Linked DNA regions of Anolis sagrei. The protein of the gene in region 1 purifies or fractionates together with the protein of each later gene. This does not show direct contact. Links are inferred from orthologs where the notes say so. Each region holds a gene or a part of one and is shown in the gene's direction. Other genes may lie near its edges. The genes, in order: CANX, torsin-1A-like, PPT1 and BSG.

The links.
Region 2: the proteins of CANX (region 1) and torsin-1A-like purify together in Homo sapiens (affinity purification with mass spectrometry; 4 studies listed by BioGRID and IntAct, counting the BioPlex papers as one, with this or other methods). This does not show direct contact. The link is inferred for Anolis sagrei from reciprocal best matches to the Homo sapiens genes CANX and TOR1A.
Region 3: the proteins of CANX (region 1) and PPT1 purify together in Homo sapiens (affinity purification with mass spectrometry; 3 studies listed by BioGRID and IntAct, with this or other methods). This does not show direct contact. The link is inferred for Anolis sagrei from reciprocal best matches to the Homo sapiens genes CANX and PPT1.
Region 4: the proteins of CANX (region 1) and BSG purify together in Homo sapiens (affinity purification with mass spectrometry; 3 studies listed by BioGRID and IntAct, with this or other methods). This does not show direct contact. The link is inferred for Anolis sagrei from reciprocal best matches to the Homo sapiens genes CANX and BSG.

What each region holds. Positions count from the first base shown.
Region 1 is NC_090022.1:86,866,376-86,873,260, reverse strand, and holds the start of CANX (calnexin), read left to right. Parts: upstream 1-3,878; 5' UTR 3,879-3,963; intron 3,964-4,126; exon of another isoform or gene 4,127-4,150; intron 4,151-6,885. UniProt on the Homo sapiens protein: Calcium-binding protein that interacts with newly synthesized monoglucosylated glycoproteins in the endoplasmic reticulum. It may act in assisting protein assembly and/or in the retention within the ER of unassembled protein subunits.
Region 2 is NC_090031.1:3,865,785-3,873,362, reverse strand, and holds the start of torsin-1A-like, read left to right. Parts: upstream 1-4,573; 5' UTR 4,574-4,616; coding exon 4,617-4,809; intron 4,810-7,256; coding exon 7,257-7,522; intron 7,523-7,578. UniProt on the Homo sapiens protein: Protein with chaperone functions important for the control of protein folding, processing, stability and localization as well as for the reduction of misfolded protein aggregates.
Region 3 is NC_090034.1:66,497,922-66,504,820, forward strand, and holds the start of PPT1 (palmitoyl-protein thioesterase 1), read left to right. Parts: upstream 1-3,878; 5' UTR 3,879-3,911; coding exon 3,912-4,023; intron 4,024-6,899. UniProt on the Homo sapiens protein: Has thioesterase activity against fatty acid thioesters with 14 -18 carbons, including palmitoyl-CoA, S-palmitoyl-N-acetylcysteamine, and palmitoylated proteins. In contrast to PPT2, PPT1 can hydrolyze palmitoylated proteins and palmitoylcysteine.
Region 4 is NC_090034.1:52,360,138-52,367,796, forward strand, and holds the start of BSG (basigin), read left to right. Parts: upstream 1-4,648; 5' UTR 4,649-4,714; coding exon 4,715-4,793; intron 4,794-7,659. Other genes in the region: CDC34 (ubiquitin-conjugating enzyme E2 R1), read left to right, coding at 771-981.

The sequences.
Region 1 (6,885 bases):
TGGATTTCTGGCAGAAGTATCATAACTAGGGTGTTACAATTGATAAAGCATTATATGTTAAGCTGGTGGGCAATATGACTGTGTGGCACTCTCGGCACAGCTTTCTCAGCTGATCTGAAAGATGGTGTTAGTAGGGACTTGGCACAGCAGCTGTTTGGATAATTTAAATTATTCCCACCATATATTTTTCTTTTTGTTAGTGCCTGTTTTTACCTTTTGGCCTGAAATCTCACAAAAAGATATACCTGGGAGTGCAATAAAACTTAGTCTAATTATGCTACACTCTGTGAACTCCTTCCCTGTCCACATCTAGTGCTTAAGAAGAGTGAAGAGAGAAGGGGCCGGAAGACAGTTCCACCTTGTCTCCTATGCTATGTCATCAGTTGGGAGCCCCGCTCCCTCCCTCCGCATCCACTACTGCTCTGGGTCAGGGTGAAGAGAGAGGGGGCCAGAAGACAGTTCCACCTTGTCTCCTGTACTATGCTAATAATATAATATAATATAATGTAATATAATATATTGTATATACATATAATAGTTTTAACAATATAATATAATGCAATATAATACTAATAACAGTAATATGTTATTATAATTATATATTTTATATTACATGCAATACTAATAATATTACAATATAATGGTATAGTACAATATAGTAAATATAATACTGATATTTTACTACACTAATAATATAATATATTGTATGTATATATATCTATATCTTGTAAGCCACTCTGAGTCCCCTTCGGTATGAGAAGGGCAGCATATAAATGTCATAAATACATAAATAAATAAGATTAAGAAGCTTCATCTCTCACTAATCTGCATTCATGGTGTAAGTTCTTTGCACCCAAGAAAAATTAATACTCCAGCTGAATGTTGGGCAGCATTCTGTATGGTTTTAAAAGTAACTGAATTAGACTTCTGTTCACACATGAATTTGCTGTACTATTTTAACCAGTATTAAAACATGGGGGGGGGGGGGGGGTCCACAAACACCCGGAAATGGAGTACTAAACCAGAACATCAGGTTAGACAATAGGTGTGGTGTTTACTGAATCAACTCCTCACGTAATTATCACTATATAGTCACTCTTAATTGCAAAATAAATATTTTTAAAAAATGTTGGAGCTTTGCACAGTATTGTATTGAGTAACAGACCCATGACTTTGTGAATAGTGCCATCTGGTGAAAAAGTGAAGAATTTAAATAGGAAATTAAATATTGTGGTTGGAATTAAGAACCAAACTACAAAGTAGAAACAGAACCTTGGCTTAATCTAGTGGTAGCAATTGGCTGTCCCTCCATGATGTTGGAAATTCAATTCCCAAAAGCCTTGCTAATCTTGAGAAGTTTTGGGAGTTGCAGTTGGACAAAAAACCTACAACAACCCAGTGATTCCGGTCACGAAATTCTGGCTTTTAAAGCCCTTTGACAATAGGGCTTTAAAGATCACAACCAACACTTTTTGTTTTGCCTGGAAACTAATTGGCAGCTAATGCGTTGACTCTGTGATAGGTGTAATATGCTAACTCCCGAATGTTCCTGTAGCCAATCTGTCTGCTGTGCTTTTGAACTTGGTACAAAGGTAGCCCAGTGTAAAGGGCACTGTAGAAGTTCATCCTTGAGGTTACCAGCGCATGCACTACCATCTTTAGGTCATCCAAATCTAGGCAGGGGCACAGATGGTGTATCAGCGAAAGCTGGTAGTAGGCTATACACTTATTGCCATAGTTTTACAAAGCTTATATCAAGATTAGCACATACATATTTCAGTTAACAAAGCTCTTTTTTTTTTATTTTTTACAAAACATGTATTCCCCTGAGCAACCTTTTTCTTCTTGTCGTCTTTCTACCTGGATGTTTTAAAACAGCATTGGGATTGGAATGATGGTGAGAAAGATGTAATTTTACTTAATGCGAACATATTGCCAGATCTGATATTTTGAATGCAGTTTGGTGAAAATGAATTCTTTTGTGAAGGGCAATTGCCTTTTCTAGAGGCTTCAATTAGAGAGGTCTTTTCTGCTGGACAGAATAAGGGTAGTCGGAGGAAAAACGGCCTTGGGACACACTTTGCTTCAAGAAAATAAATGTTATTAGACAAAGGTATTCATGGACTATAAAGCCAAGCAAATAACACCCGGCCCTTGTAAAGAAAAAAAGTTTTAAAGACTGAATCAGGAATGCTGAGAAATGTTTTATATATTTTAATCTGCTTTAACTATTTATTGTAAATATTTTCCACGTTTAATCCAATTTTAGTGTTTATATTTATATATGCTGCTTTGTAAACCTGGTGGTGTGGTGGGTTAAACTGCTGGGCTGCTGAACTTGCTGACCGAATCTGGGGAGCGGGGTGAGCTCCTGCTGTTAGTCTCAGCTTCTGCCAACCTGGCAGTTTGAAAATATGCAAATGTGAGTAGATCAATAGGTAGGTAGGTAATGGTGCTCCATGCAGTTGTGCTGGCTGCATGACCTTGAAGGTGTCTATGGACAACACCAGCTCTTTGGCTTAGATAAACCCCACCCCTGAGTTGGCCACAACTAGACTTAATGTCAGGAGAAACCTCTAGCTTTATATACTACCATGTTTTGGGGTATGATACAGTGGTGTGTTCTGATATATGTGTTTTATGCTGTGAGCCTTGAGGCAGTTAACAAATATTTTTATTCTTATTGCGATGATCATATATTTTAGGTGTTTAGGTGTTCAATTGTGTACTATTTAGTATTGTTCTCTGCTTAGGAGTTAATTTCAAGAGATAATAATAATAATAATAATAATAATAATAAACCTTTATACCCCGCTAACATCTCCCGAAGGACTCGGTGCAGCTTACAAGAGGCCGAGGCCCAATACATAAGTAAAACAGCATAACAAATACAACAATAAACAAAGCAATAAACATTAAAACAATAGCAATAAACATTAGATAATAACACCATGACACATTTAAAAACTAAGGCCGGGCCAAATGTAATGATTAAAAATTTTAAAAATGCTGGACATGACCAGGTGAAATGGATAGATTTTTGGAGATAGGTGCGGTATGCAGACAATCTTAAATCTCTAATAAAGTGCATTTGGGATATGATGCTTGGAGTTTCCTATTCTGGGAATGCACACTGGAACAACCACATCTTTTAAGCTATTCCTAAAGACTGCCAACGTTGGGGCTTGTCTGATGTCCTTGGGGAGAGAGTTCCAGAGTCGGGGGGCCACCACAGAGAAGGCCCTGTCCCTCGTCCCCACCAATCTCGCTTATATATGTCTGCACTTGATGCCAATGCATTCTCTTCATTACTATATTCTGCTCTGAATGTCTCAGGGCCCTTCCAGAAAGGCCCTATATTCGAGGATCTGATTCCCAGGTGTTCTGCTTTAAACGGGATTATAAGAATTGCTACTGCCAGATAATCTGAACCTGGGATCAGGCCCTGGGACATAGGGCCTGTCTGGAAGGGCCCTCTGCAGCAGACACCCACAAGGCCCCTGCCAGCCCACTCCTTCTTACTACGGTCCACAGGAGGTACGCTCTCCTGTCACTTTAAGAACGGAGAGGCTCCCTCGTCCTTCAAGCTCCGCCTACTCCGGCTCGCCCGCCAACCCACGGGCGCTTCCGTCGGAGCCGCTCAGCCAATGGCAGCGCTCCACGAAGGGCAGCGCCGTAGGGACGGGGCTTAAGGCGAGAGCGGCGGAGAGTGATGGCGTGGTCTAACCAATCAGAGCGGAGGGGCGGGAAGACTCCCTTTGCCTGAATCAATGAGAGTAGGAAGTCTCGGGGCGTGGGAGGCGGAGCTAGCGGCTGAGAGAGAGAGCGAGAGAGAGAGGAGAGAGTGTGAGGCAGGCAGGCAGGCAACGGACCAACGCGCGCGGGCGGAGGCACGTGACGGCAGGAGGTGCGAGGGGGTTTCTCGGAGGAGCCTCGGCGGGCGAGCTGTGCGCGTGGAGCGAGGTGAGTGAGAGAGTATCTCCCGCGAGGAGGCCCTCCCTTCGTTTCTGCCTGGGATAGAATGTTGCGGCGGGGGATGAGGGGGGGGGGTGGAGGGAGAGAAGGAGAGCGGCCCTCTTCCTCTCGCGCAGGGAACTCTGGGGCACGCACTGGAGGCGGCAAGAGCGGGAGGCGAAGTGTCCCACGGAGGGTGTGTCCGTTGGGGGCTGTGGGTACTGAGTGGGCTGGAATGAGGGAGAGAGAAAGAAGGGGGAGGGGGAGAAGCGCCGGGTCCCTCCGCAGGCCAAACTTCTAGGGCCTTCTAGAGCGGGCCTCTTGGGGGAAGGTGTCGTTGCGGGCCTGTGCGTGGCTTATCTCTTCGCCTCTCGGGTGGGACCTTGAGGGACCTCCCCTCGCCTTTTTACGGGGGGAGGGGATGGGGTGGGCGAGTGTTTCATTTTGTGGAGGGGCTGCTCATAGCGGGGAGGGGGCCTCCTGTGTATCTGCACTGGGGAGGAGAGCCAGGAAGACACTTCCACCGTGTCTCCTGGGCCATCAGTTGGGAGCTCCTCTCTCCAGCACCAATTGCTGCTCTGGGTTCAGAGTGAAGAAAGGGAACCAGGAAGACAGTTCCACCATGTCTCTTGGGTCATCAGTTTGGCAGCCCCTCTCCAGCACCAATTACTGCTCTGGGTCCAGATTGAACAAGGGGAGCAGGGAAGACAGTTCCAACGTGTCTCTTGGGTCATCAGTTGGGAACCCTGGGTCCAGAGTGAAGAAGGGGAGCAGGGAAGACAGTTCCAACATCTCTCCTGGGTCATCGGAGCCCATCCCCCCAGCACCAATTGCTGCTCTGGGTCCAGAGTGAAGAAGGGGAGCCAGGAAGACAGTTCCAACATGTCTCCTGGGTCATCAGAGCCCTTCCCCCCAGCAACTATAGTAATATATAATACTAATATTGTGCTGTGCTCATAAATTTTTTTTGTCGTGTCAGGAGCGACCTGAGAAACTGCAAGTCGCTTCTGGTGTGAGAGAATTGGCCGTCTGCAAGGACGTTGCCCAGGGGATGCCCAGATGATTTGATGTTTTATCATCCTGGTGGGAGGCTTCTCTCATGTCCCCGCATGAGGAGCTGGAGCTGATAGAGGGAGCTCATCCGCCTCTCCCCGGATTCGAACCTGCAACCTGTCAGTCTTCAGTCCTGCCGGCACAGGGGTTTAACCCACTATTAATGATATAATAATTATGTTACATGTAATATTAATAATAATAAAGTATAGTGATATAGTACAATATAGTAATATATCATACTAATATTGTAATATGCTAATAATATAATATATTGTAGACTCTCACCCAGCCTATTCAACTTGTATGCAGAACACATCATGCTATGTGCGGGGCTTGATGAATGCAAGGCTGGGGTAAAAATTGCTGGAAGAAACATTAACAACCTTAGATATGCAGATGATACCACTTTGATGGTTGAAAGCGAGGAGGAGCCGAGGAGCCTTCTAATCAAGGTGAAAGAAGAAAGCACAAAACCTGGATTGCAGTTAAACATCTAAAAAACCAAGATTATGGCAACCGGATTGATTGATAACTGGCAAACAGAGGGAGAAAACGTGGAGGCCGTGACAGACTTTGTATTTCTAGGTGCAAAATTTTCTGCAGACACAGACTGCAGCCAGCAAACCAGAAGACGCTTACTTCTTGGGAGGAGAGCAATGTCCAATCTTGATAAAATACTGAAGAGTAGAGACATCACACTGGCAACAAAGATCCGCATAGTCAAAGCAGTGATATTCCCCATTGTCACCTACGGATGTGAGAGTTGGATCATAGGGAAGGCTGAGCGAAGGAAGATAGATGCTTTTGAACTGTGGTGTTGAGGGAAAGTTCTGAGAGTGCCTTGGACTGCGAGAAGATCCAACCAGTCCATACTTCAGGAAATAAAACCCGACTGCTCATTGGAGGGAAGGATAGTAGAGGCAAAGATGAAGTACTTTGGCCACATCATGAGAAGAAAGGAAAGCTTAGAGAAGACAATAATGCTGGGGAAAAATGGAAGGAAAAAGGAAGAGGGGCTGACCAAGGGCAAGATGAATGGATGGTATCCTTGAAGGGACTGGCTTGACTCTGAAGGAGTTGGGGGAAGTGACGGCCAACAGGGAGCTCTGGCGTGGGATGGTCCATGAGGTCACGAAGAGTCGGAAGCAACTGAACGAATGAACAACAACAATGTACATATAACTTGTAAGCCACTCTGAGTCCTCTTTGGGGTGAGACGGGTGGGATATAAATATCGCAAATAAATAAGTACACTGCAGGATTGGTGCAGATGCCATAGCTTGACGCTGGCGCCCCTTGGACTCTGTCAGCTCAAGGCTATGGAATCGCGGGACTTGTGGTTTTACGAGACCTCCTCTGCCCAAGAATGCTGGTGCCTCACCACATTACAACTCCCAGGATCCCACAGCATTGAAACTGCAAACTCTGACATTCTGTGTATTGTGGGATGTGTGCATGTGTTACTCAAGCTGTGTCTCCCCTGTGGAATGAATGCAGTTTGACACCCCATTCACTGCCATGGGAATCCTGGGTGACATAGTTTGGGGAAGCAGCCAGCCTTTTTTTTGGCAGAGAAGGTTCAAGACCTTGTAAAGCTTAGTAGGAGAAGATAAAAGTTTTCCCTTGACATGAAGTCTATTTGTGTCTGGTGCTGGGGTATGGTGCTCATCTCAATTTCTAAGAAAAAGAGACAGCGTTGTCCGTAGACTCCTGCCAGGTCATGACTGCATGGGGCGCCATTACCTTCCCGTAGAAGCGATACCAATTGACCTCACATTTACATGCTTTTGAATTGCTAGGTTGGGAGAAGCTTGGGCTAACAGTGGGAGCTCACCCCGCTCCCTAGATTCGAGCCATCAACTTTTTGGTAGGCAA
Region 2 (7,578 bases), on another chromosome or scaffold:
AATCCGTGTGTTGGGTGTGTCATTATTATTATTATTATTACGATAATTATTTTATCCCTCTCCCTCCATTACGAACTTTTTGTTTCCGTTTGCAGTGTGGCTTTCATTTTCCTTTGAGCAGAAAAGGGCCCGAAAAAAAGTAGATCTTTTTGGGATTCATAGTTCAACGGAGGAGGCCCTGGTTGTACTATACATCCCAATTCAGGGCCACGCTTTTAAACTCTTGGAGCGTGGCCACGTCGTCGGCGTTCAAGCCAGTTCCGTTTGGGGATCGATTAAAAGCAGGCAGTATTTGGAATGTCTTCTTCAGCTGTGTCTGTGTTGAAAATGCAGAAGGCTTTTTAAAACCGGATTTTTGTGTGCGTTGTTTTATTATTATTATTACTATGTTATTAAATGGGGAACAAAGGAGTGAATTAACCCCTCGTACAGGATCAAGTCACAGGGAGAAGCCAGGAATACATTTATTATTGTTGTTATTTCATCAATTCTAAAAAGGTAAAGGTTTCCCCCTTTACCTCTGGGGGTTGGTGCTCATCTCTAAGACGAAGAGCCGGCGTTGTCCATAGACACCTCCACTGGCAGGACTGCATGGAGCGCCGTTACCTTCCTGCCGGAGCAGTACCTATTCCATCTACTCCCATTTACATGTTTTCAAACTGCTAGGTTGGCAGAAGCTGGGGCTAACAGTGGGAGCTCACCCTACTCTCTGGATTTGAACTACAGACCTTTAGGACAACTATTTCATCAGCTCATTAGTTTAATCTGCTGCACCACTGATACTAAGAAGCCCTTATTTATTCCAATATAAACATCTCCAAAAAATGAGATTCACAGGTACTTTTGGAAACAGAAATACAGCTTTTTTCTGTTTTGATGATACTGAAATTAGTGAGTGCCTTAGAACTGATGAAATAAAGTATTATTATTATTATTATTATTCCAAGAGTAAAAGAGAGAGGGGTCCAGGGGACACTTCCACCTTGTCTCCTGTGCTATTCTAATATAATACAGTGTAATATAATATATTGTCTATACAGATAATATTTATAATATTATAATGTAATGCAATATAATACTAATAATAATTTAATTATAAATTTATATTACATGTAATATTACTAATAATACAATATAATGGTATAGTACAATAGAGTAATATTTAATACTGATGTTGTACTATGTCGATAATATAATAGTATATTGTATGTATATATACCTTGTAAGCTACTCTGAGTCCCCTTCAGGATGAGACTGGCGGCATATAAATTTCATAAATAAATAAAAAGCAGGGATATTATTATTATTATTATTATTACAATATAATGGTATAGTACAACGTAGTAATCTGTAATACTAATATTATGCTATTATAATAATATAATGTTTTTTATTTACATATTACTTGTAAGCTGCTCTGAGTCCCCTTCGGGGTGAGAAGGGCGGCATATAAATGTCATAAATAAATAAATAATATCCTACTTTTAAAAAACTATTATTTTAATTATTATTCTAAGAGAGTTAAAAGTTATTAATGTCGTCATCATCCTTTTTCCTCTCTTAGAAGAGATGGAATTATTAAAAGCAAAGCTTATTATTATTATTATTCTATGATTAAAAGCAGATTGTCGTTAATAATAATATTTTGCTTTTTACTACTACTAATAATAATTTAATTTACCATGTGTAAATTAAAACCTAAGACATAATAAACCTCAAAAACAGAATTAAATACAGGACTACGATGAAAAAGCTGTTAAAATACATTAAACTCTTGCAATTAAATTTAGGACTATTAATTTTTTTTAAAAAAAAACCCCATTAAAATAGAAATAGAAATGCAGCACCCCCCTAGGCTCAGTTATTAAGTGGGAAAATATCTTTAAAACCAAATAGGGAAAGGAATAAATCTGGTTTAAAATTAGCAAGAGGGCGCAATGCTCGGTGTGTCCACATAGTATTACACATAGTAGTCCTGGGCAGAGAGATACCCCATAGGCGTCAATAGAGGTGCACAATACCAAGGGGGCGCAATGCTCAATGTGTCCCCCGGAGGGCGGCAAAGGATTGCACATCCTGGACAGAGAGATGCCCCATACTTACTTCTTACTTTACTTAGGCGATCCCTCGTAGTCTGAGGATGATGGTCCTCCAAGTGTAGCATTCTGGCAGTGGGGCCATAGGGGACTGTGGAGCCCTATTCTTGACCCACATGTTCTCCTGCAGTGAGGGCATCGGTTTCCAGGTGGAAGGCCGTCCTGGTTGGGGTTGGCTTGACGTGCCTTCCTCTTGGCATGTATCTCTCTTTCGCCCTTCATTTGTGCCTCTTCCAATTCTGCAGCACTGCTGGTCCCAGCTGACCTCCAGCTGGAGCACTCAAGGGCCAGGGCTTCCCAGTTCTCAGTGTCTATGCCAGAGTTTTTAAGGTTGGCTTTGAGCCCATCTTTCAATCTCTTTTCCTGTCCTCCAACATTCTGTTTTCCATTCTTGCGTTCGGAGTAGAGCAACTGTTTTAGGAGACGGTGGTCAGATATCCAGACAATGTGGCCGGTCCAGCAGAGTTGATGACGGAGGACCATTGCTTCGATGCTGGTGGTCTTTGCTTCTTCCAGCACGCTGATGTTTGTCCACTTGTCTTCCCAAGAGATTTGCAGGATTTTCCAGAGGCAGAGATGCCCCATAGGTTTCAATGGAGGGGCAGTATTATATGATTTATTTACGACATTTCTATGCCGCCCTTCTCATCCTAAAGGGGACTCGGAGTGGCTTACAAGATATATATGCATACAATATATTATATTATTAGCAGAGCACAATATCAGCATTATATATTTGTATACTGTATTATACCATTATATTGTAATATTATTAATAATATAACATGTAATATAAAATATAGAAATATAATGAATTATTATTAGTAGTATATTGCATTACATTATAATCTTATAAATATTATTAATAATACATGTAATATATATATAATTAGAATACCATATTAGTAGCATATTGTATACACTATATATATACATATTATTAATAATACATGTAATATATACAAATATTATATCATATTATTAGTATGTTGTATACACAGTATATATACATATTATTAATAATAGATGTAATATATACATATAATTATAATGTGATATTATTAGTATTATATTGTATACACAGTATATATATAAATATTATTAATAATAATTTGTATTGGATATGTGTTTTATGCTTTTAAACTGAATATTGTTGTTTTTTAAGTGTTGTAAACCGCAATGAGTCGCCGATTTAGGCTGAGATATTAGCGGTATACAAGCGCATTAATAAATAAATAAATAAATAAATAAATAATAATACATGTAATATATAATTATAATATATTATTAGTATTATATTGTATACACAGTATATATATAAATATTAATAATACATGTAATATATATATAATTATAATATCATATTATTTGTATTATATTGTATACACAGTATATATAAAAACATTATTAATAATACATGTAATACATATGTATATATATACATAATTATAATATATTATTAGTATTATATTAAATACAGTATATATATACATATTAATCATACATGTAATATATACATATAATTATTAGTATTATGTTGTATACACAGTATATATATATACTATATATTATATTATACTATATTATTTTATTATCATAGCATATAGAATTGGGAAAGGTAGATTGAATAGGCAGGGCAGTGTGTATCCAAAGTATAATAAAGTGCATTATTATTAAATAAGCCACGCCCCTCGCTCCGCCCATTAGGGGGTAGCTAGAATGGGATAGGCTGGGTGTGTTGAGGAATAGGCCACGCCCCTCGCTCCGCCCATTAGGGGGTAGCTAGAACGGGAACAGCAGTGTATTAAGCGTTAGGCCACGCCCCTCGCTCCGCCCACTGGTATGGCTAGAATGGAAAAGGCAGTGTCTATCGAACAATAGGCCACGCCCTTCGCTCCGCCCATTAGGGTTACTAGAATGGGAATGGTGTATTAAGCATTAGGCCCCGCCCCCTCGCCCCACCCACTGGTGTGGCTAGAATGGGAAAGGCAGTGTCTATTAAGCAATAGGCCACGCCCCTCGCTCCGCCCACTGGTGTGGCTAGAATGGGAAAGGCAGTGTCTATCAAGCAATAGGCCACGCCCCAAGCTCCGCCCACTGGTGTGGCTAGAATAGGAAAGGCAGTGTCTATCAATCAATAGGTCCCGCCCCTTGCTCCGCCCATTGGTGTGGCTAGAATGGGAAAGACTATCAAGTAATAGGCCACGCCCCTCGCTCAGCCCATGTGGGAGACTAGAATGGGTTTGTATTGAGGAATAGGCCACGCCCCTCGCTCCGCCCATTAGAGGTGCTAGAATGGGAAAGGCAGTGTGTTTGGGAATAGGCCCCGCCCCTTCGTGCTGCTGGAATGGGATAGGCCGTGAGTCTCGTTTAAGCCACGCCCCCCTCCTCCCCGCGGGCCAATCCCGTCGCTGCGGCGTTGAACTCCCGCCCGGCCCCAAGATGGCGGCAGCGGGACCGGAAGCGCCTTCCCTGAGGGCCCTCCGCCGCCAGTAGAGCGGAAGTGCCCGTCGTGAGGCGATGCGGTGGCGGGTGTGGCTGGCGACGTGGGTCTTGTCGGCGGGCCTGGCCGGGGCAGTGGAGCCCTTGAGCCTGAGCCTGGCCCTGGCCGGCGCCGCCGCCTCCGCCTTCACGGGCTTCCTCTCCTACCCGCGCCTCTACTGCCTCTTCGCCCACTGCTGCCACCAAGGGGACGGCGCCCAAGTCCAGCCAGGTCAGTCAGGCAGAGGCCTACCTGGCTGCCTGAGGGGCTGTCACCTCAGAAAGTGGGAACTGTATTAACATAATAATGTCATGCTTATATTGTCACTATTAGAATAGTGCTATTATTTCTTCCTTAGTATATATTATTATATTGTTATATTATCATTATTGTGAATACTTATAATATTGGTAATATTTATTTATTTATCGTCTCATCAGCAACCATTGTATTACAATTCTAACAGAGCAAAACAAACACACAGACTAAAAAGAAAAAGGAAAAAAAAACACACAGATTTTGCAAATTTGGTAGTTGGTTAAATGTCCTTTGACCAGTATCTGGCCACTTGGAGTGCCTCTGGTGTTGCTGCAAGAAGGTCCTCCCTTGTGCATGTGGCAGGGCTCAGGGTGCATTGCAGCTGGTGGTCAGTGGTTTGCTCTTCTCCACACTCACATGCCGAGGATTCCACTTTGTAGCCCCATTTCTTGAGATTGGCTCTGCATCTCGTGGTGCCAGAGCGCAGTCTGTTCAGTTCCTTCCAAGTCGCCCCGTCCTCTGTTCGACCAGGGGGGAGTCTCTCATCTGGTATCACCCTTGGATTGAGGCTCTGGGTTTGAGCCTGCCACTTTTGGACTCTCGCTTGCTGGAGTGTTCCAGCGAGTGTCTCTGTAGGTCTTAGAAAACTATGTCTTGATTTAAATCGTTGACATGCAGGCTGACACCCAAACAGGGGATGGGCTGCAGATGTCTCTGCCTTGGTCCTTTCACTATTGGCTGCTACTTCCCGGCGGATGTCAGGTGGTGCAATACCGGCTAAGCAGTGTAATGTCTCCAGTGGTGTAGGGCACAGACACCCTGTGATAATGCGGCATGTCTCATTAAGAGCCACATCCACTGTTTTAGCATGGTGAGATGTGTTCCACACTGAGCATGCATACTCAGCAGCAGAGTAGCACAGCACAAGGGCAGATGTCTTCACTGTGTCTGGTTGTGATCCCCAGGTTGTGCCACTCAGCTTTCGTATGATGTTTCTAGCGCCCACTTTTTTTTGATGTTCAGGCAGTGCTTCTTGTAGGTAAGAGCACGGTCCAGAGGGACTCCCAGGTACTTGGGTGTGCTGCAATGCTCCAGTGGGATTCCTTCCCAGGTAATCCTCAGAGCTCGGGATGCTTGTCTGTTCTTAAGGTGAAAGGCACATGTCTGTGTTTTAGATGGATTAGGGATCAGGTGGTTTTCCCTGTAATAGGCAGTAAGAGCACCTAGAGCTTTGGAGAATTTCTGTTCTACCATCTCAAAGCTCCCTGCTTGAGTGGTGATGGCACGATCATCAGCATAGATGAAGCTCTCTGTCCCTTCTGGCAGTGGCTGGTCATTTGTGTAGATGTTGAACATGGATGGAGCAAGCACGCTCCCCTGAGGCAGGCCGTTCTTCTGTTTCCGCCATCTGCTTCTCTGGCCCTGGAACTCGACAAAAAAGCTCCTGTTTGGTAGCAGGTTTCCTATGAGGCGGGTGAGGTGGTCGTCCTTTGTGATATTATACATTTTTCTCAGGAGGAGGCGGTGGTTCACAGTCTCATAGGCTGCTGACAAGTCTATGAAGACAGCTCCTGTGATCTGCTGCCTTTCAAAGATAGATAATATTATAATATTATATTTCAAAGATTGGTAATATTATAATGGGGTACAATATAATAATAATAATAATAATAATAATAATAATGCTATTATTTTTCCTTAGTATATGTTATTATATTGTTATATTATCATTATTGTGAATACATATGATATTGATAATATTATAAAAGGATACAATATAATAATATAATAGTGCTGTTATTTTTCCTTAGTATATATTTTTATATTGTTGAATTATCATTATTGTAAATACATATATTTATAATATTATAATGTGGTACAATATAAAAATAAAATATGTATGCACAATAATGACAATAATAATAATAGCGACTGGACTTAATGTCAGGGGAAACCTTTACCATTATTATTATTATTATTATTATATAGTTTATATTACATGTAATATTACTAATAATATTACAGTCTAATGGTATAGTACAATATAGTAATATATAATACTAATATTGTGCAATGGTAATGATATAATATATTGTATTTACGTATTACTTGTAAGCCGCTCTTGAGTCCCCTTCGTGGGTGAGAAGGGCAGCATATAAATGTCGCAAATAAATAAATAAATTGTCATTGTCATGGTGTATATCATTGTGATTATGACAGTAATGATAACAGTCAATATTAACGTAACATATAACTATGTGTATTCATTTGTTGAGGATTTCTGTTCCTGTCAAGCTGATCTCACTTTCCTATCCCTACCCAATTGTTCCACCAATTTTTATGTATCTAAAAACACTCAATAAAGATTTAAAAAAAAAAAAAAAGCTGATCGGTGTGTCTTTTTCTCTCCCCGTCTGCAGTGCTACAGGAGAATTTGGACAAGAAGCTCTTTGGGCAGCATTTGGCCAGGAAGGTGATAGTGAAGGCCGTGACAGGGTTTCTGAACAACTCCAACCCCAAGAAGCCCTTGACGCTTTCCCTGCACGGCTGGACCGGGACCGGGAAGAACTTTGCCAGCAAAATCCTGGCCGAGAGCCTCTACAAAGAGGGCCTCAACAGCAAATATGTCCACCAGTTCATCTCCACCTTGCATTTCCCTCACCTGCAGAACCTCACCCAGTACAAGGTAAAGCACAGAGTCAATGATCTGGGCATCATTCTTTAGAGCTGGTCGGGGTTTTA
Region 3 (6,899 bases), on another chromosome or scaffold:
CTCATTGGCTCCATCTTTCTTTATCTCTTTCCTTCCTTCCTTCTCTTTCTCTCTTTTGTTTCCTCTCTCCTTCCTTCCCTCTTTCACTTTTTTATTTCCTTCTCTCCTTCCTTCCTTCCTTCCTTCTCTACCTTTCTTTCTTTCCTTCTCTCCTTCCCTCCTTCTTCCCTCTTTATCTCTCTCCTTCTCCTTCCTTCCTTCCTTCCTTCCTTCCTTTCTTCCTTCCTTCGCCCTTTCTGTGTATGTGTTTTCTGTGTGTATATATGTGTGTATATGTATATATTTGTGTATATATGTATATATGTGTGTTTGTGTACATATGTGGTTTTGCGCATGGGTTGTAATGTATTTTTTTGTTTTTTGGTTTTTTAAGTCTCTTCTGCAGTATTTTTCAATGTCTTTATGAGTGATAGTTACTTGTTGGCCTGATCGGTGTATTGTGTCCAAATCTGGTGTCAATTTGTCCAGTGGTTTTTGAGTTATGTTAATCCCACAAACGAACATTACATTTTTATATAGAATCAATAAACTTCTTTGTTATTTTATCTTGAATTGGATTTTGTGTTAAGTACAGAGGTGATTCCCAGCCTTGGAGTGCAACAGTGTGTTTAATGTGTCACATTTTATATCCTGATATAAAACCCTTTTGGAGAAGCATGCTACTGATCAAGACCTTTGGTGACCTTTCACCAGCACCTCATGACCCAGAAATTTGCTCCAGTTGTCTTCCTGGGCATCATCTACATATGAAAGATTCAATCACCCATCATCTCTGGGACCAATTCATCTTTATTGGCCCCCATAACCCCAATTGTGCAGAGGATGACAGGATCCATTTGCAGAGCCACCCGTCCTTTGTCTCAATCACATGGACATTACAAAGACACTTGGCAAACACACTCGGACAGATGGCAAGCTGTTTAACCTCAGCAGACTGAAAGCCAAAACCAAGGTTACAACAACATCTGTTATAGAACTACAGACAATGTCGTCTGTGCACATTCAGAAGAAGATCTACAAGCCACTCTAAATACCTTTGCAGAAGCATATGAGAAGCTCGGCCTGTCATTGAACATCGAGAAAACCAAAGTGCTGTTCCAGCAGTCACCAGCCAACTCCTCTCCAATGCCAGAGATACAGCTTAATGGTGTAACATTAGAAAATGTTGACCATTTCCGCTACCTTGGCAGCCACCTATCCACCAAAGTCAACAACACTGCCTGAGCTCTGCGAGTGCAGCATTTTTCCGAACGAAGCAGAGAGTGTTTGAGGACATCTGCAGGGATACCAAGGTGCTTGTTTATAAAGCTATTGTCCTCCCAACCCTGCTATATTCCTGCGAAACGTGGACTGTCTACAGACGTCACATGCAACTCCTGGAACAATTCCACCAGCGCTGCCTCCGGAAAATTCTGCAAATCTCTTGGGAAGACAAGAGGACAAATGTCAGCATGCTGGAAGAAGCAAAGACCACCAGCATTGAAGCGATGGTCCTCCGCAATCAACTCCGCTGGACCAGCCACGTTGTCCGGATGCCTGACCGCCATCTCTCAAAGCAGTTGCTCTACTAGGAAACACTGAGCAGCATTCCATGGAGACAGATACTAAAAGACAAGGGAGTTACGGATGGATGGGAGTTTCTCAAGAGTGAAATACTCAAGGCGCAATTGCAAACTGTGCCAACAAAGAGAAAAAATAGGACAAGTGCAAAGAAGCCAGAATGGATGTCCAAAGAACTTCTAACTGTGCTAAGACACAAAAGAGACATGCACAAGAAGTGGAAAAAGGGAGAAATCACCAAAGAAGAATTCAAACAAATAGCCAACACCTGTAGGGAAAAGGTCCGCAAAGCTGAAGCACAAAACGAGCTCAGGCTTGTCAGGGACATTAAAAACAATAAAAAGGGATTCTTTTCTTATGTCAGTAGAAAAAGGAAAAACAAGGACGCGATAGGGCCTCTTCGAGGAGAAGATGGGGCAATGCTGACAGGGGATAGGGAAAAGGCAGAACTACTTAACGCCTTCTTTGCCTTGGTCTTCTCACAAAAAGAAAGTCATCTTCAACCTCAGCAAGACGGAGTGGATGAGGGATTTGAGGACATCCAACCCCAAATTGGGAAACAAGTCGTCCAGGAATACCTGGCCGCTCTAAATGAGTTCAAGTCCCCAGGGCCAGATCAACTACACCCAAGAGTATTGAAGGAACTAGCGGAAGTCATTTCGGAACCATTGGCAATCACCTTTGAGAGTTCTTGGAGAACGGGAGAAGTTCCAGCAGATTGGAGGAGGGCCAATGTGGTCCCAGTCTTCAAGAAGGGAAAAAAGGAAGACCCAAACAACTACCGTTCGGTCAGCCTCACGTCGATACCAGGCAAGATTCTGGAAAAGATTGTTAAGGAAGTGGTCTGCAAACACTTAGAAACAAATGCAGTCATCGCTAATAGTCAACATGGATTTATCAAAAACAAGTCATGCCCGACTAATCTGATCTCTTTTTTCAATAGAGTTACAAGCTGGGTAGATGTGGGGAATGCCGTGGATGTAGCGTACCTGGATTTCAGTAAGGCCTTTGACAAGGTCCCCCATGACCTTCTGGCAAGGAAACTAGTCCAATGTGGGCTAGGCAAAACTACAGTGAGGTGGATCTGTAATTGGTTAAATGGACGAACCCAGAGGGTGCTCACCAATGCTTCCTCTTCATCCTGGAAAGAAGCGACGAGCGGAGTGCCGCAGGGTTCGGTCCTGTTCAACATCTTTATTAATGACTTAGATGAAGGGCTAGAAGGCAGGATCATCAAGTTTGCAGACGGCACCAAATTGGGAGGGATAGCCAATACTCCAGAGGACAGGAGCAGGATTCAAAACAGATTAGAGATGGGCCAAAACTAACAAAATGAAGTTCAACAGCGACAAATGCAAGATACTCCACTTTGGCAGGAAAAACGAAATGCAAAGATACAGAATGGGGGATGCCTGGCTCGAGAGCAGTACGTGTGAAAAAGATCTTGGAGTCCTCGTGGACAACAAGTTAAACATGAGCCAACAATGTGATGTGGCGGCAAAAAAACCCTATGGGATTTTGGCCTGCATCAATAGGAGCATAGTGTCTAGATCCAGGGAAGTAATGCTATCCCTCTATTCTGCTTTGGTTAGACCACATCTGGAATATTGTGTCCAATTCTGGGCACCACAATTCAAGAGAGATATTGACAAGCTGGAATGTGTCCAGAGGAGGGCGACTAAAATGATCAAGGGTCTGGAGAACAAGCCCTATGAGGAGCGGCTTAAGGAGCTGGGCATGTTTAGCCTGAAGAAGAGAAGGCTGAGAGGAGATATGATAGCCATGTATAAATATGTGAGAGGAAGCCACAGGGAGGAGGGAGCAAGCTTGTTTTCTGCTTCTCTGGAGACTAGGACACGGAACAATGGCTTCAAACTACAAGAAAGTAGATTCCACCTGAACATGAGGAAGAACTTGTGAGAGCCGTTAAGCAGTGGAACTCTCTGCCCCAGAGTGTGGTGGAGGCTCCTTCTTTGGAGGTTTTTAAACAGAGGCTAAACGGCCATCTGTCAGGGGTGCTTCGAATGCAAAATTCCTGCTTCTTGGCAGGAGGTTGGATTGGATGGCCCACGAGGTCTCTTCCTACGCTAATATTCTATGCAAGGCACAGGAGCCTCCTCCAGTTGGACATCTAGCAATGCCTCGTTGCAAAACAGGGATGGGAAGCCCATGTTCCTGGAGAGACATTGCATTTCTTCCTCCGTTCCCATTGCCCCTGCTTCTTGAGCTATGATTGCCATAAGTATTGCAATTTTGCAGCCTCCTTCAAAACACAGCCTCTTGGAAGGCGTTTGGTCACGTGACGCCGTTTCCTCCCTGTCTCGAGGCGGAGATCATGTGATACAGCCAAGATGGCGTCGATCAGGTTGTTTGTGTCTTGTCTGCTGTTCTCAGGAGCCTTTTGCCGGATAGAGTTGGAGAGCCGGGCGATACCGGTGCCTCTGGTGATTTGGCACGGCATGGGTGAGTACCAGCGCCCCCAATTCACGTTTTGTCCTCTGAGGGAAGATTTGTTCCAGAAATTAAAGTAAAGGAAACCGCTTTACTCTGAAACCTGTGAGACAGCTCTGAAAAGGCTTTCATGGCCGGAATCGCAAGGTTGTTGTGAGTTTTCCGGGCTGTATGGCCATGTTCCAGAAGCATTCTCTCCTGACTTTTCGCCTGCACCTATGACAGGCATCCTCAGAAGTTGTGAGGCCTGAGACTTTACAACTTCTGAGGATGCCTGCCATAGATGCTGGCGAAATGTCGGAAGAGAATGCTTCTGAAACATATATATATATATTAGTAGCCGTCAGGGCCGTAGCCAGAAAAAAAATTCGGGAGGGGTTGAAATTTTCAGGGGGGGGGTGAAAATTTTGCAGGGGCAGGTTGAAACCTGCCTTCTAGCTCACGCTGAAGCAAAGAGCACAGCAGGGAGCAGAGCAGCCTTCAATAGCCTGCAGCTCCTCACGTGTCAACCACCTCCACCAAGTCTGGCCTCCTTAATGAGAGCATTCAACACACAAACACACCCAACTTGGTTGCTTCACTACATCGGCTATTGCTGCAAGTAATGACAGTGTGAATAAATTGTCAATATTTAAGGCCTTGCATGGTCTGTGGCCAATGTACCTGAGGGACCGCCTCACCCCCTACCAACCCCAGAGATCCCTCCATTCTGAGGACCAAGATCTATTGGAAATTCCCAGTGTCAAGACCTTGCGTCTAACAGCAACCAGACGCAGAGCCTTCACAGCAGTGGCACCATCACTCTGGAATACTCTGCCACCTGAAGTCCGTGCCTTGCGGGACTTATCAGCTTTCCTCAGGTCATGTAAGACATACCTGTTTCGACGGGCCTTTGATCTCTGATATTGCTGTTTTTAAATTTTTTAAAATTGTGTTCGATTTTAGCCTGTTCTTGTAAGCCGTTCCAAGCCCCAGGGGAGTGGCGGCATATAAGTTCGAATAATACATAAATAAATAAATAAATAAATATTTGCTTGAGGTAGTGCTTGTAGTTCTGGAGGGACTCTTAATTTTTTTGCATCTCATAGCCTTAGCATGGGGATTTGGTTAACCAGTTAATATTCATGAGTAAAGTGGGTTTTTTAAAAAAATCTGAAACATTTCGGGGGGGGGGGTTGAACCCCTAAAACCACCCCCTCGCTACAGGCCTGGTAGCCGTCCCCTGCCATGCGTTGCTGTGGCCGTCTGGTGATCTGGAAAATAGAGTATTTTCTAATATATGTAATTTTTTTATGCTTGTGGGTAAACAGGATTTGATTACGTTTTCTTGCCCTGGTGAAGGGAGTTGGACTGGATGGCCTTAAGTATTTTCTATTGGTCATGGGGTTCTGTGTGGGAGGTTTGCCCCAATTCTGTCATTTGGAGGGTTCAGAATGCTCTTTGGTTGTTGGTGAACTATAAATCCCAGTAACTACAAATCCCAAATGTGAAGGTCTATTTCCCCCAAACTGCATCTGTGTTAATATTTGGGCATATAGAATATTCATGCCAAGTTTGGTCCAGATCCATTATTGTTTGAGTCCACAGTGCTCTCTGGATGTAGATGGACTACAACTCCCAAACTCAAGGTCAGTGCCCACCAAACCGTTGTAGTGTTTTCTGTTGATCATGGGTGTCCTGTGTGACATGTTTGGTTCAGTTCCATCATTGGTGGAGTTCTTTGATTGTAGGTGAACTATAAATCCCAGCAACTATAACTCCCAAATGACAAAATTAATTTTTTGAGTGAAGGACATACATTGGGTTGTTAGGTGTATTGTGTTCAAAATTGGTGTCCATTGCTCCAGTGGTTTTTGAGTTCTGTTAATCCCACAAACGAACTTTACATTTTTATTTATATAGATTATTAATAAAATGGTCCAGAGACCCTAATTATTTATTTTTATTTATTTACAGAGCGGCTAACAAAGGCAGCAATTTGATGCCACAATCAATAACACAGTCTAAAACCATAAATACATGCAGAGTTAAAACAATAGCAGTTAATTATAACCAAATTATCATAAGTCATTAAAACAATACTCAGTCCGCAAACCCACTGATAGAACCATAAAACCGTATCCTCATACATATCGTCTTGCCAATCCATTTCCAGTCAAAGTGCTGCTTTATGTTTATTGTCCGAAAGCCTGGTCCCAAAACCAAGATTTTAATTTCTTCCTGAATGCCAGGAGGGATGGGGTCGATCGTATTTCATTTGGAAGCGCGTTCCACAGGCTGGGGGCTACAGCCGAGAAGGCCCTGTCTCTCGTCCCCGCCAGCCGCGTTTGCGATGTTGGCGGGAGCGAGAGCAGGGCCTCCCCGGATGATCTTAAGTTATGAGTTGGGACATAGAAGCAGATGCATTCGGACAAGTAAGCTGGGCCAGAACCGTATATTACACTGTAGCATACAAGTTATATAGGTAATGATACATCTAGTGGATAAAATTTGCAAACAGTATAAGCGCAAAAGCTGGGTTGCAGTTAAACATCAAAAAAACCAAGATTATGGCAACAAGAATGATTGACAACTGGGAAACAGAGGGAGAAAACGTGGAGGCAGTGACAGACTTTGTATTTTTAGGTGTAAAGATTACTGCAGACGCAGACTGCAGTCAGGAAATCAGGAGATGCTTACTCCTTATGAGAAGAGCAATGTCCAATCTCGATAACATAGTGAAGAGTAGAGACATCACACTGGCAACGAAGATCCGCGTAATTAAAGCTATGTAATAATAATAGTAATAGTAATAATATTAGAATATTATAATTATAATTATATATTTACATTACATGTAATATTACTAATAATATTACAATATAATGGTATAGTGCAATATAGTAATA
Region 4 (7,659 bases), on another chromosome or scaffold:
AAGGACCTCAACAAATTAGAGACCTGATTGGCCAAAATTAACAATATGAATTTTAACAAGGACAAACATAAGATACGACACTTAAGCAGAAAAATGAAATGCAAAGGCACAGAATGGGGGACTCCTGACTCAACAACAGTCCCTGTGAGAAAGATCTTAGAGTCCTTGTTGACAGGAAGTTGAACATGAGCCAAGAGTGTGATGCAGCAGCTAAGAAAGGCAAAGGGGTATAGTGTCTAGTTTGAGGGAAGTCATGGTGCCTCTCTATTCGGCTTTGGTCAGACCTATTTTCCCGGAATACTGTTCCAATTCTGGACACTATAGTTAAAAATAGATAAAGATGTTCAGAGGAGGACAACTAGAATGATGAAGGTCTGGAGACCATGAACCCCTATGAGGAACTGGGTATGTTTAACCTGCAGAAGAGAAGGTTGAGAGGAGACATGATCGCCATGCATAAATATGTGAAAGGATGGCATAAGGAAGAGGGAGCGGGCTTGTTTTCAATGGACTCAATGTAGCCATGTGTTCAAATGACAGGAAAGTGATTCCACCTGAACATGAGGCGGAACTTCCTGACTGTAAGAGCTATTGAGCAGTGGAACTCTCTGCCTCAGCATCTGGTGGAAGCTCCTTCCTTGAAAGCTTTTTAAAGTACCATCTGTCAGGAGTACTTTGATTCTGCTTTTCCTGCATAGAGGAAGGGGGTTGGACTAGATGACCCATGTGCTCTCTTCCAACTCTAGTGTTCTATTATTCTTTCCTGGCAGGAAGCAAGTGCTGGGCACAAAGGCAGAGGCCGAGCGGGATGGCGTCAAGGTCCCCACCACGCTGGCAGAATACTGCGTCAAGACCAAGACCCCGGCGCCAGACGAGGGCTCGGACCTCTTCTATGACGACTACTATGAGGACGACGAGATGGACGACGAGGTGGACAGCTGCTATGGCGACGAGGATGATTCCGGCAATGAGGAGTCTTGACAAGGAGGACCCCCTTCCTTGCCCCTTTCCTCCTTCCCCCCATTCCCTTTTGCCCCCTTCCAACGCTGCCTCCTCCTCCTGCTGCTGCTGCTCCTGATAGTAGCAATAAACTATCTGACTCTTTTACTTGAACCCAGGATGGATCCGGCTGAGGCTTTGGAACCCCTGTTTGCCCCGAATTGAAATGAGAGAGAATGAGAGAGAGAGAGAGAGAGAGAGAGAGAGAGAACTCTACCTCAAAAAGGGAGACTTGGTTTCTGCTTGAAGTGGCTGGGATGGGGAGGGAGGAATTCTTTCTTTTTTAGGGGGATAGATTGACCATTTGGCTTTTGGTTTAGCGTTTGTTTTGTGTTTTGTGCAGAGGAGGAGGAGTTAATCATAGGGATTTTTGAGAGGGATTGTTGATTCCCCAGGTGTTTCATTCTCGGTCGCATTGAGACGAAGCACCAAGACGCAGCACTGGGTGTTTTGAACGTTTTTGCTTCCATTTATTTTTTAAAAAACATTTATTACACTATAAGACTTTAATTCTGAATGAGGGGCATCTGAGCTTGCGGATGGAAAGGCACTAAGAGAACCAGAGCACCCCTCCTTCCATTAATTGGTGTTTTCCCTTTTTTTAGAAATGTGGGAATTACAGAGTCCGGTTCCTCACTCAGCCACTGGGAGGCACTGCTTGGCCGTCTTTCCACTGCATTGTCTTTTCACTTTGGGAATGTTTGCGTCCCCTTCAGAATGACAAGAAATGGAGATATTTTTTTTGCGAACATGGGGGGGGGTGCCTTTTCTTTGTAACAATCGTTTTGGGGGGTTTATTTTGCTTTTGTGGTTTTGTTCCGTGTTTCGGGGGAGTTTGGGGTTTAATTGGTTTCTCCCTCTTGGTTTTGAAGCTATTTAATAAAAAGGACTTTGAAAGGAAAGTGCCTTTTGGGGTGGCAGCCTCGCAAACAGCTTGCTTGTGAAGTCTGACTTCAAAAAGTGGTGGGAAAGTTACTTTTCTGAACGGCTTTGAAGTCCCAAAACATAGATTGGGCTGCGGAGAGCAGCCTGGTCCATGGAACGTACTTTTTGTGTTTGATATGTTCTTGATCTTCATCTCCGATGGTGTACTACAGCTATTTAACCTCAGCAGACTGAAAGCCAAAACCAAGTTCACAGTAACATCTGTTATAGAACTCCAGGATGCTGATGATAGATAGCATAGTCTGTACACATTCAGAAGAAGACCTACAAGCCATTCTAAACACCTTTGCAGAAGCATACGAGAAGCTTGGCTTCTCATTGAACATCAAGAAAACCAAAGTGCTTTTCCAGTAGTCACCAGCCAATCCCTCTGCAATGCCAGAAATACAGCTGAATGGTTTAATGTTAGAAAATGTTGACCATTTCCGCTACCTTGGCAGCCACCTCTCCACAAAAGTCAACAGTGACACTGAAATACAACACTGCCTGAGCTCTGCGATTGCAGCATTTTTCCGAAGGAAGCAGAGAGTGCTTGAGGATTGGGACACCCGTAGGGAGACCAAGGTGCTTGCTTATAAAACTTGTTGTCCTCCCAACTCTATATGCCTGTGAAACGTGGACTGTCTACAGATGTCACACTCAACTGGAACAATTCCTTCAGCATTGCCTCCGAAAAATCCTGCAAATCTCTTGGGAAGACACGCAGACAAATGTCAGCATGCTGGAAGAAGCAAAGACCACCAGCATTGAAGCGATGCTCTTACGCCATCAACTCCACTGCTGGTCACATCCGAATGTCCGATCACCGTCTCCCAAAGCGGTTACTATACTCCCAGCTTAAGAATGGAAAACAGAATGATGTTGGACAGGAAAAGAGATTGAAAGGTGGGATTAAAGCTAACCTTAAAAACTGGCATTGACACTGAAAACTGAAGCCCTGGCCCTTGAGCGCTCTGACTGGAGGTCAACTGTGACCAGCAGTGCTGTGGTATTTGAAAAGACACAAATGGAGGGTGAAAGGAAGAAATGTGCCAAGAGGAAGAAGGCATATCAAGCCAACCTTGACCAGGACTGCCTTCCACCTGGAAACCGATGCCCTCATTATGGAAGAACATGCGGGTCAAAAATAGGGCTCGACAATCACCAATGTATCCAATGCCCAGAAACTACACTTACCTTTTTATTTATTTATTTGGAGTGCTTCTACCCCGCCCTTCTCAACCCCCTAGGGGGGGACTCAGGGCGGCTTACAAAAGGCACAATTCGATGCTCAACAATTCACAAAATACAATATACAATTTACAATATAACGATGACAGTTATAACTAATTAAAACAGTCAAATTAAAACAACAAGAGCAATAAAATCATCTTGTGGTCAACGTTCATCAATTCATAAATCCATAATCCATCTAGCAATGTCATTGTCCTTTCTTACTCTGGTCGTCATTGTCTTTTATCCATCTGCCAGCTTACCCAAAGGCCACCTGGAAGGCCATCATACCCAGACAACGAAGGATCGCCTAAGTAAGTACAGCTCCTATCATCCCCAGCCTGTGTGGCCTTATGGTTGGCGTAAACTGTTCATACAGACGTATCGATACAAAGGTATAATCCCGTTCCAACTTGTAACAATTCCCTCTCTTCATAATTTTCCAGAGTAGAGATAAATTTGCTCAGGGCCAGATTAAGGTCAAAGGTGTAAAAGAGTTCCTAAAAACCAGTGGGGGCCTCAGAGGGTATCTGGTCCAACCCTGATGGAGGGCCATCCCATTCTTCTAACGGTCACAAGGAAATGGCAAGCAAATAGACTTGGCCAGGCTTTGTATTGTGAAAAATAGATATTTAAAAGTATATAAACATATAATTTGTATAATTTATAACAAATATTAATACAGAGTACAAATATTAAGGGTTGGCTTTAGCCTGCAGCTAAATTATATATTTTACAGACATATATATTATATTAATAATATGTATTATATATATATAATTATTATAATGCTATATAATATAAAATATATTATATTAAATGTATATACAGACATATATATTATAATAATAATATGTATTGTATATATATAATTATTATAATGCTATATAAAATATATAATTTAGCTGCAAGCTAAAGCTGACAATATGTATGAGTTTAAACTTTTGCAGATGAGATGATATGATAGTCTGCTTTCCTCTTCTAAAGTGGCTGCGGTCTCTTTAAGAATCTGAGTCCTCTAGTGCTATTTACATGAGTAGGTGGGGCTCGTAGTTAGCTCGCACGTTTCATTGGTTTTGGGTAACGCCAGTCGTGAGAATCGGCGCCACGATTGGCCAGTGCCCGTGCTTGACGTAGATGGCAGCGACCGCCTCTTGTGTGTGTGTACGTGACCTGGTGTAGTAGCCTGAGATGCCTTGCGGGAGTGACTTCGGTTTCCGGCCCGTCCTGCCTCCTTTAATCTTTCCTATAGGTGGCTAGCTTGTCGATCAAAGGCCCTTTGAAGCCCCGCCTCCCACCGGGCAGGCTAAAGTATCTGATTGGCTGGGGTTTTTGACGTCACCCTCTCCCCCTTCTTGCCGTCCTCAACCGTCCTTCCTCGCGTGCAATCGGATTGGCCCGCTTTCTCGGGCGGTGGAGCCAATAGCGGCGCCTCTCGGGGCTCGCGCCCGTCGGCCATTGGCTCTTCCTCGGTTTCTCCGCCTCCGGGGGGTTACCAGGCGTCCGCCATTCCTGAGGAGAGGAGCAGAGCGACGGAGCGGCAGAAGCAGCGGGAGCCATGAGGGCGATGGTGGCGAGAAGGCTGGTGCTGGCCTTGGGCGCCTGGCTCTGCTGTGCGAGCGGCGCCTCGGCCGCGGGTAAGAGGTCCAGGCAGGGAAGGAAGGAGGCGCCGAGGCGGAAGGGCTTCCATTCCTGAAGGGAAATATAAGGCTTCGAGGGGACATTTCATATTCTGAGGGGAAATTAAATATTCTGAGGGGGAAATTTCATATTCTGAGGGGGGGGGGGGAGTAATTTTCGGAGAGAAAATTTCATATCCTGCGGGGAAATTTCATATTCTGAAGGTGAAATATAATTGTCTGAGGGGAAATTTCGTACTATGAGGGGAGAATTTAAAATTCTGAGAGGAATATTTGTATTCTGTGAGGGGATTTCATCTTCTGAAGTTGAAATATAATTATCTGAGAAGAAATTTCATATCTTGAGGGGGGAAAATTATATTCTGAGAGGAACATTTCATATTAAGAAGTTGGAATATAATTTTCTGAGGGGGAATTTCATATTCTGAAGTGAAAATGTAGTAACCTGAGAAGAAATGTCATATCCTGAGGGGGAAATTTCATATTCTGAAGGGAAATTTTATATTCTGAGAGGGAAATTTCATATCCGGGGGTGGAGATTTCATATTCTGAAGGCAAGGCCTCTTTAAATTGGGTTTCAAAATCCTCAAATAAAAGGATCTTTGCTCCGATAGCAACATTTAAATAAAAGGATTTTCCCCAGATTTCCTCCATATTCACATACATATACAGGCGTTCCCTGTATTACAAACATCCGACTTACAGTTAAGAACAAGGGTGAGACAAGAAGTGAGAGAATCTACTCCTTGGAAGGGAAAGCCACTTCTGAAAGAATTATCAGGGGGAAAAGGGGTCTCCACTGAATCTTTAGCACCAATCCTTGTTTCCACGTCAAGCCAAATTATCAAAAATCCAATCATCACAGGGACGGGAAGTGGGGTGAAATCTACTGAACAAGGGCACAGACAGAAGGATAACCCCACCTGAGAAGGGATTTCATATCCTGTGGGGAAAATTCTATTCTGAGAAGGAAATTTCATATTTTGAGGGGGGAAGGCAATATTCTGAGAGGGAAATTTAATATCCTTAGGGGGAAATTTAATATTTTGTGGCAGGAATGTAATATTCTGAGAGGAAATTAAATATTTTGAGAAAAAAATAATATCTTTAGGGGGAAATTTCATATTCTGAGAGGAAAGTTCTTATTCTGAGAAAAAAATATATATCCTGAGATGGAAATTTCATATCCCGAGGGGCAATTTCATATTCTGAGTGGGGAAGGTAATACTCTGAGAAAAAATTAAATATCCTGAGAGGAAAATTCCATATTCTGAAGGTGAAATATAATTATCTGATAATCGATTTTATACCATGAGGGGAAATTTTAAAATTCTGTGAGGAATTTTTGTATTCTGAGGGGTGGAGGGGATTTCATATTCTGTAAGCGAAATATAATTATCTGAGAAGAAATTTTGTATCCTGAAGGGGAAATGTTATATACTGAGGGCTAATTTTAAATTCTGTAGGTAAATTTAAAATTCCAGGAGGAAATGTCTTATTTTGAGGGGAAATGTCATATTTTGAAAGTGAACTATAATTATCTGGGGGGAAATTTCATATCCTGAGGGGAAAAATATAATTATTTGAGAAGAGATTTCATATCCTGAGTGGGAAATTTCATATTCTGAGGGTAAATCTAAAATTCTGAGAGGAAAATTCTATTTTCTGAGGTGGAAATTTCTTATCCTGAAGGCAAAATATAATTATCTGATAATAGATTACATATCCTGAGGGGAAATTTCTTATCCACAGGCAAAATCCTGAGAGCTAATTTGAAATTTGAGGGGGATCTTCAGTCTCTGAAGTTTTCATTTCTAAGGGGAAATTCAGGAAATTCACTGTTTGGAGGGGACATTTCCTCAGGGTCTTTATGTCATTGGGAAGTGAAACGGAAGACGGATTTTTATATATATATTAAACTCGCTGGATTCGTATTACGAAGAAAGGATTCACAGAAGGGCGTCCATTTAGCAACATTTAAATAAAAGGATTTTCCCCAGATTTTACCAGGGAAGATGGGGCCTCCATATTCACATACATATACAGGCATTCCCTGTATTACAAACATTCGACTTACAGTTAAGAACAAGAGTGAGACAACAAGAAGTGAGAGAAATCTACCCCTTGGAAGGGAAATCCACTTCTGAAAGAATTATCAAGGGGAAAAGGGGTCTCCACTGAATCTTTAGCACCAATCCTTGTTTCCACGTCAAGCCAAATTACCAAAAATCCAATCATCACAGGGACGGGAAGTGAGCTGAAATTACTGAACAAGGGCACAGACAGAAAGATAACCCCACAGGGTGTTAACCCTTCCCTATGCTATCCAGAGCTAAAGGATATATATGGATATATATATATATATATAGTTAAAAATGTCCCTTTTCAGACTTGCATACAAATTCAATTTAAGAAGAAACCTACAGAACCTATCCTGTTCATAACTTGGGGACTGCCTGTATAGCATAATGCTTAATACAGCCAGCCCTCCATAGCCATGGACTTTGCACCCACAGATTCTGCTGAAGAATTTTTTCTTAAAAAAACCACACAATCATAGACTTTGGAAGAAACCCCAAGGGCCATCCAGCCCAACTCCATCCTTACATGCAGGAAGACCGAATCAAAACAGTCCTGACAGATGACCATTCAGCTTCTGCTGAAAAGCCTTCAGAGAAGTAGACTCCACCGACACCAAGAAGGCATATTCCACTGCCGAACAGTTCTTCCCATCAGGAAGTTCTTTCTAATGTTGAGGTGGAATCCCTCTTCCTGGGGAGATTCCAGTCTTGGAACTGGGAACAGGTAGCGGGAATGAGAGCACCGCTGTCCTGTGCTGTGCTTTTTGGGCAAAGTAAGTAGG